Linked DNA regions of Pelodiscus sinensis. The protein of the gene in region 1 interacts with the protein of each later gene in a biochemical or structural test. Links are inferred from orthologs where the notes say so. Each region holds a gene or a part of one and is shown in the gene's direction. Other genes may lie near its edges.

The links.
Region 2: the proteins of RUFY1 (region 1) and RAB14 form a complex in vitro, tested with the Homo sapiens proteins (2 studies listed by BioGRID). The link is inferred for Pelodiscus sinensis from reciprocal best matches to the Homo sapiens genes RUFY1 and RAB14.

What each region holds. Positions count from the first base shown.
Region 1 is NC_134727.1:34,046,028-34,049,943, forward strand, and holds the start of RUFY1 (RUN and FYVE domain-containing protein 1), read left to right. Parts: upstream 1-1,264; 5' UTR 1,265-1,292; coding exon 1,293-1,563; intron 1,564-3,367; exon of another isoform or gene 3,368-3,416; intron 3,417-3,916. UniProt on the Homo sapiens protein: Activating adapter involved in cargo sorting from early/recycling endosomes. Regulates retrieval of proteins from endosomes to the trans-Golgi network through interaction with the dynein-dynactin complex.
Region 2 is NC_134732.1:21,462,066-21,465,981, forward strand, and holds the start of RAB14 (ras-related protein Rab-14), read left to right. Parts: upstream 1-916; 5' UTR 917-1,056; intron 1,057-3,916.

The sequences.
Region 1 (3,916 bases):
TAATGTACTTACAAAAGGGAAGTAACATAATAGTTTTGAATTTGTAGGATTTCAACTTCAAACATTATTCATTTTCTTGAATAATCACTACACATAGTAAATTTGAATCAGAAACTTATACAGCTTCCATTACTCTTTCCATAACTAATCTGAATTATGTTGTGATTTGTAACAATAAAAATTTTCTTTGCACTAAAATGACAGTTGAATAGGCGACTCGATTTTAATTTTGTTAGCAAATATTTTTTATAGACTCTAATAATAATAGTCATGACTTTTTTCCAATGAAAACCAAAAATTACTATTTAAACCAGTGTTTCTCAAAGTGGTCTGTGAACCCACTCTGAGAAAGCTGATACCAGGCTGCTCCAGTTTGTGTATTTATTAGCTCCACAGCTACAGAGCCTCACGGCTCCCAGAGTATGTCTACACTGCAAGGCTTAACTTGAGTACTTTTCTAATGACTTCCCTTATTCCTCATACAATGAGGGTTACAGGAGTCAGAGTAAAAAGTCCTCAAGCTTGACAGTATTTTGACACTATTGAAATAACTGCCTGCTGAGTAGACGCGGACTAAGATATTTCAGAATAGCACCATTTATTTCAAAATAGTGTTGCAGTGCAGACGTACCCCCATTGGTGCGGTTTGCCATTTGAATAACACTGATTTAAACCTTTCACCCATCATATTCCAGTGTAAAAAGTAGTGCATTCAGATCATTTCAGTGGCAGGATTGTTTATGTAAATTTTGGTATCTGTAGGTAATCGGGATATGACTTTATTTTGCACAAACAAATCCACAAACAAACTCTTCATAATATATAGTAATTTCTTTCAATACTCTTTTCTAGGTTATGATGGTCCCGTTTTAGAAAAGACAATCCAGTCTCAAAAGACTCAATGTGTTTTTTAAATGCTGCAAAATCTGTGACTTCATATACTCTGGGAAAATGCTAACTTAAAATATTGTGTAGAAGTACAGAGGCTGCATTGGGTTTTTCAGAAAGCTACAAATAAGAATTGTAATAATATAAAAGGACATTCACTATACAATATCTAACAGAGTATCATTTGTTGTGATAATCAGTAACCAGAAAATATACTAGCTGTGGCTATAATTTGGAGCATATCACAATCAGGATGTTTAGTATCTGACACTTTTGCTCATGCGACTGGTTGTTGTGTAACCACGCACAGCACTTTTGTCATGAAACAACTCCTATCACCTACAGAGCAGGGAGTTTCTGCTTAACTCGATTGCTCATGACTAGTGTCATATGACATTTTAAAGATGGCTGAAGGAGAGAGTTGCAATGCATCTGCTGTGAAACAGAAAGAAGATTTTGAAATAATTGACAGAAACCTGATTCCTAATGTAACTGAGTTGAAAAACGAGGTGAAAGAAAAAGCTGTTGAAGAATCGGGATGGTCTGCTCCCATCTTTTCACTGGCCAAGAAAGCTTCAGAAAACTTAGCAGTGAGCTATGGCAACGCTCTGAAGTCTGCAGCTTTGATAGGACTCGTACCCAAACCAGTCAGCAATGACAACACAACAAAAACAAGTATGATTATGTTTATTCAGTAAACTTCCTTGTACTGTGTACAAATAAGTTAGTTATAATCTGCAAGTGTCAGAGATGCATTATTACTTTGCATTTATTTAAAAAAACCTATCCCCTGTGGATACTGTAATGATTTATGCAAAGTACTTTTGAACCCAGAGAACAAATCTCAGCGAACTTTTACATGCTCAGGGAAAACATAACCTTTTGATATTTTTGGGAGGATGGCTTTTTATTTTATACATTTTTCTTTCTAACTTACCCAGAAAAGTTCAGCTTACATGTAGCATGACCGCAACAGTGTCTAGTATGGTCTCTTTCTTTACTTACAGCTGGGCTGACTAGAACAAGGAAACTATATATATTGCTTTCGAATCACATTAATCTGTCTCCCTCATTCACACAGTATTGAAACATCATGAAGCAATTATAAAATAAGAGATGTAAAAATCTAATAATAATATATTAAAATTATGTATATTTTAGAAAAATATTAATAAAAACTGAATAGTTTATTAGCAAACATTTATGGATGTCCTTGCAGAACTTAAATCTGCTTAATAAGTACAGGCAGTCCCCAGGTTACATACAAGATAGGGACTGTAGGTTTGTTCTTAAGTTGAATCTGTATGTAAGTCGGAACTGGCATCCAGATTCAGCCGCTGCTGAAACTGATCAGTTTCAAGAGCAGCTGAATCTGGACACCAGTTCCGACTTACATACAGATTCAACTTAAGAACCCCAGGCGTCCTCAAGTCAGCTGCTGCTGAAACTGATCAGCAGCTGATTCCAGGAAGCCCGGGGCAGAGCAACTCTGCCTCGGGCTTCCTGTAGTCAGCCGCTGGTCAGTTTCAGCAGCGGCTGACTTGGGGACGCCTGGGGCAGAGCAGCTGGGATGCTGCCGGGTTGGTCCAGTAGCGCCAAGGAGCGGTGCTGCGGGATCAACCGGCAGCGCCCCACCTGCTCTACCACAGGCCCCGGGCTTTGCTCCACGTCTCCCTGGTCTGCTGGGGAGGGGCACTAGCTGCGTCCCCCCCCCCTCCAGCAGACCAGGGAGACGCGGAGCAAAGCGGCGGAGGACCCGGGCCGGACCGCGGCGCTTCCAGATCAGCGCCGCGGTCCGGCCCAGGTCCTCCGTGGCTTTGCTCAGCGTCTCTCTGGTCTACAGACCAGGGAGACGCTGAGCAAAGTGGCGGAGGACCCGGGCCGGACCCGCGGCGCTTCCAGATCAGCGCCGTGGGTCCGGCCCGGGTCCTCCGCCGCTTTGCTCCCCGTCTCCCTGGTCTGCTGGTTCCCCCAGCAGACCAGGGAGACGGGGAGCAGCTTTTCTCGCCCCGGAGGAGGCAGGCGGCGGGACCAGGCGTCCCGCCGCTCCAGTCCTCCGGAGCGAGAAAATCCCTGTTCGTAACTGCGGATCCGACATAAGTCGGATCCGCGTAACTCGGGGACTGCCTGTATAATCTTTGCTCCACTGAAGTCTAAGGGAGTTTTGCCAGTGATTTCAGTAGGGTCAGGATGTCACTTTCTCTGTAGTGTTTACTGCTGCATCTATTAGCTAGTGTTTCTTGTCAATCTTCCAAAAATTACCAGACAAAATCAGAAGAACTGGAAATCTTCCAACATTGCAGATTAAATGCAACATTAATTTAAAAGAGACAAAATAGTCCCAGGCATAGGGGATAAAGGCAGGACATGAAGTCTCTATCTACATTCTCTAAGAGGGCTCACCTCTCTATCTAGGATTTCTATATTGAGGTATCAGATTCTGAGGTGACCCTGAAGTGTCATAGTCTATTGTACTTACTGAAAGCTCTGTCCCCTGGCAGGCTGATCTAACACAGTTCAAGTCCTACCTAAAAGACAAACATTCATATTTAGCTTTTTTATGTAACTTCCCTTCCGTTTTAGTGTACACAGAGAGAACCAACTAGAGGGTGGGGTACAGTGAACATGAATACTGATAGTGCTCTCAATTGCACAGTAAACGGAAAAATAGGAATGTATTGCGTAATTGAATAATCGTGTAACTGCATGAAATCTTAGTGATTACACAACTATTCAATTGTCCCCAAGGGCAGGGCCAGCAGCCAGTGAGCCCTCTGTCACCCCATGCTGCTGCTTCTATATCAGCAGAAGATGGCAGGCAGGAGCCAGTCCACAAGGGAAGACAGTTTAAAAACCAGCCCCTCACTGCACAGGCCGGCTGCCTGCTGCCCTGCGCTGCTGCCTCTGATACATTGGTAACAGCATGAGGTGGCAGTAGCCCCTGTTCATGGGGTTTGAGCTCCCTGCAGACAGGGGCTGCTGCTGCAGGCCTCTGTGATCAAGCTTGCAAGCCCAGGCTTGCTGTGGA
Region 2 (3,916 bases), on another chromosome or scaffold:
GCCAAGGCAACGGGAATCCACGGAGGGCCACTGAGGTCACACTCGGAAGATAATCAGGGTGCCCCGTTATTAAACGCGCACCGATCCGTAAATAGAAGCGAGTAAGCCAAATCTTGGCCCGCCACTTCCGAAAGGTTGGCGCCCCGGATCTAGCCGGTACTCGGTCCTGTGGCGAGGCCAGGGGACCGGACTCGTCCTCTCGAGGTCCCATCCCAGTGCGCTAGGATCCTGGGCTGTGCTGGTCTCTTCCTCCTGCCCCTCCTGGGCATTTGTCAGGGTGGTTCTCTCGCCCAACAGGGCGAGGCTGGCAGGGGGCGGCGGAGGCCAGGGCCCCTCCCCACGCTGACAGGGCGTGGAGGCTGCGCCCAGCCCGTGCCCTCGGCCGTTTCTGGGGAACCTCAGGCGCCCCCCGCCTGTCGGCGGCAGGGCAGCGCGGGAACGGAGGATGCCGCAGTGTGCGGCACTGCAGCGCTGCCTGAGGCAACGCTGGGAAGGGGGAGGGGCGAGCAGGCGCGTCGGGGGCGCTCTCCGCTGAGGCGGGGCAGCGAACGTTGGCGGGGGGGAGGGGAGGAGCAGGCGCTCACTGCCCAAGGGCCGCCGGAGACGTTTTCCCGCCAGCCCACTCGGCGCGCGCGCCCCCGGCGAGCCAGCGCGCGCGAGGCGCAAGACGTCCCTGGGGGCGGGGGAGGCAGCGCGTGACCCGGCGCGCGCGCGCGCGCGCGCTTGCGGACAACCTGGGGCACCGCCCACACCCCGCGTTCGGGCGGCCGCCGCTAGGGCACGCTGGCGCTGTGATTGGCCCGCGCGGCGGCTCCTGCCCCCCCGCTTTGTGCGGCCGGGGCCCGTTGAGAGTGGGAGGGGAAACCCCGCGCACGGGGCGCCGCCATCTTGGATAAGGGGAGGGGGATGGGGCCGCAGTAGAGCCGTCAGAGCCGAGCCTGTGGGAGCCCCGGCGAGAGGCAGAGACCCAGCCCAGCCGCCGCCGCAGAGCCGCACAGCGCCCCGGGCTGCCACCGACACAGCCAAGCTGCACAGCCACCAGCTCCCCGAGCCCAGGTGAGGAGGAAGCGGCGGCGCCGCCTCCACAGCGCCGGGCCCACAGAGCCTCCCCCGCCCCGGCCGGGCATCCTCGGGGCGCCCGCGGCATCCCTCCCCGGGGGGCCAGTCGGGCCCGCAGCGGGGCCTAGCCCGGCACCCAGGCCGCGCCGGCTCCCGCTCCCCGGCCGGGCCCTGGCTGCGAGGCCCGAGCTGGAGGCAGCCGGCAGCCCCGCCCGTGAGACCCAAGCGGAGGGAAACGAGCCGGAGCCCTCGGGGCTGGGCCTGCCGGGTAGGACAGGGCCGGAGCGAGGCCTCCGCCGCGCTGCTGCTGGGGCCTCCGCCTCCTCTGCGCGGCTGCCCCCTCGCTCTGCCCTGCTGGAGGCGCGCCGTGTGCCCCGGCATTGCTCGTGTGGCGGGGTCCGCACGGGACGGGGGGCGTGCTCGCCAAGTTCACTGCTGTCTCTGGTTTCCATCCTTCCAATGCCGGTGGCGTGACACTAGTCCCAAGTATCGATAGCGCTTGAGGAAGGGTCACCTGCCCTCTAAATAGCGACCGAGATGTAGCCGTGTTAGTCTGGGGTAGCTGAAGCAAAATGCAGGACAATGTAGCACTTTAAAGACTAACAAGATGGTTTATTAGGTGATGAGCTTGCGTGGGCCAGACCCACTTCCTCAGATCAAATAGTGGAAGAAAATAGTCACAACCATCTATACCAAAGGATACAATCTTAAAAAAAAAAAGTGAACACATATGAAAAGGACAAATCACATTTCAGAACAAATCTTTGTCTGAGAGGCCTCCCCTCCCCCCAGCAATGCTCTTGTACATTACATTGTGTCTAGAGGTGGTAGAAGAAAATGGATTTAAAAAAAACCCTGGTTATGGTTTTGTGTCTCTGGTCTGTTTGACCATTACACTTCTGAATTGCCTTTTAGTGGTGGTATTGTGGAGGGCTTATTTTGGAAGCAACTTTGTGAAAACCATTTCACTGGTTTCATCAGTGCTCCAAGCATGGGAAGTTGTTAATCAGGTTCTGTCTACAGTGTTATTGCTTTCGAGTTCCTACTGTTATGGCCTTTTTTTTTTCTTCTCTTGCTGCTCAGTTTCTTTATTAGTCTTAAATTCAGTGGCTACAGGAAGGGTGAATGGTCCATAAGTATAAGTACAAGATCTTATGTTGGATTTTGAACTGATTTTCCCCAGTAAGAAAATGGCATTTGTCTAGGCTCAAAGTTTTGGGATTACCTGTTAAATTTTGTTTGTTGGGTTTTGAACTAGAAACTGTTTCTCTATTGGATGTAACTTTGTGTATTTTGTGTATTATGTTAACTGAAATATTTTGAATAAAAACTTCTAGAGACTCTAGCCCAAAAAAGTAAACACTTGAATTATAGACCCAACCAGCACTAAACTGTTAGGCAATTTTACAAACATAAGTCAGAGTCTCTGTCCCAGGGGAGTTGTTATATAAAGGTATAACTGCATATGAGTTATAGGTAAGCTACTGATTCCTGTGAAGGATTGGGAAACCACTTAAATCAGAGCTATGGTAAAACACTCCACTCTCAGGGTTTTTTTATTTATTATTGAGAGCCTTGAAATTAGGGACATATGGTTAGTTTGCCATGAATGAAGCAGTCATTAAAGGAAAACATGGAGTATTTAATATGTTAAAATTGGAGGTTTTGAAATATGTTTATAACCCTAGCTATCCTTAAGTTTATTTCCATGCTTCAATGTATCCAGTGGGCCCTTAAGACTTCTGGTAGTTCAGGAAGGTGTGAGGAGAGAAATATGCACTTTCCCTACTGATCAAGAATGTGTTGTATCCAGCTGATGACTTACACAGCCCAGTAATTTATTGCTAGAGAACTGTAGCTAACTTTCTTTCAGTCTAGTTATTACCAAAACTTTGTAGTGTGTAATTTGCCAATTCATATTTAGCTTTCAATAGATAGATATCTATGGTAGAATGTGGCTCTGCTGCTAAAGAAACAGTGAAGTCAATGTCTCATATCCAGTTGATTGAAGTAGAAGAAACTTGTATATTTCAGAAAGCTACAATTTAGCAGCCTCCTTGAAGTGGTGGTATTGGGGAGTTCTGAATAAAATAATACGGTTAAACTCTTTTCCTTGAACAAAAAAATAACCAACAACAAAAAACTGAAGATAAAATTCAGGTTAGAAACCAACATTGAGAGGTTAAGTGACTTGTCTCATACCTTGGACATTCTCTGGTTTTGATTGAGTAGTCATACCTATTATAAGTGCAAGGTGAAGTTTCATTACTATTGAGACTTCTGTACAGACTTTCAATATACCTCAAATTTGCTTGGTTGTGGTGTCCAACTTTGTTTAAGGGGTTGTGGGGTTTCTTAATTGTCACTTTGTATCAAATATGTTCCATTTAAGTGTTGTTCACTTTTCCTCACTGCTACCTGTAGTCTCAGCCTGGGTTCTTGCTACATTATGCATCATATATGCATATTAAGGTCCTATGAGCCGACTTTGTCTTCAGTGACATCTGTAAGTGTACCTCAGAGCCATTGCATTGGTTGCAAATGTATAACTTGTAGCAAGAAGGATGAACACTAGTTGCTATGGCTCTGCAGTGCTAACAGGGTAAAAACTATTGAATTATTTGACAATAAACAGATGATTAAAATCAGGAAAAAAGCTGTTTCAAAAGTGCTGTCTTATTGTTACAGAAGAATCACACTCTAATTCTTTAATGTTGACTTTGAAACTGCATATGCTTGTATGCTAGCATAAAATCTTTTGTGGATTGAAGTTACCAAAAAGCAGTTTATAGTCATGGCCCTACTATATTCATGAAAAAGTATAATGGACTGTGAAATTCTGGCCTCTTGTGTGGCT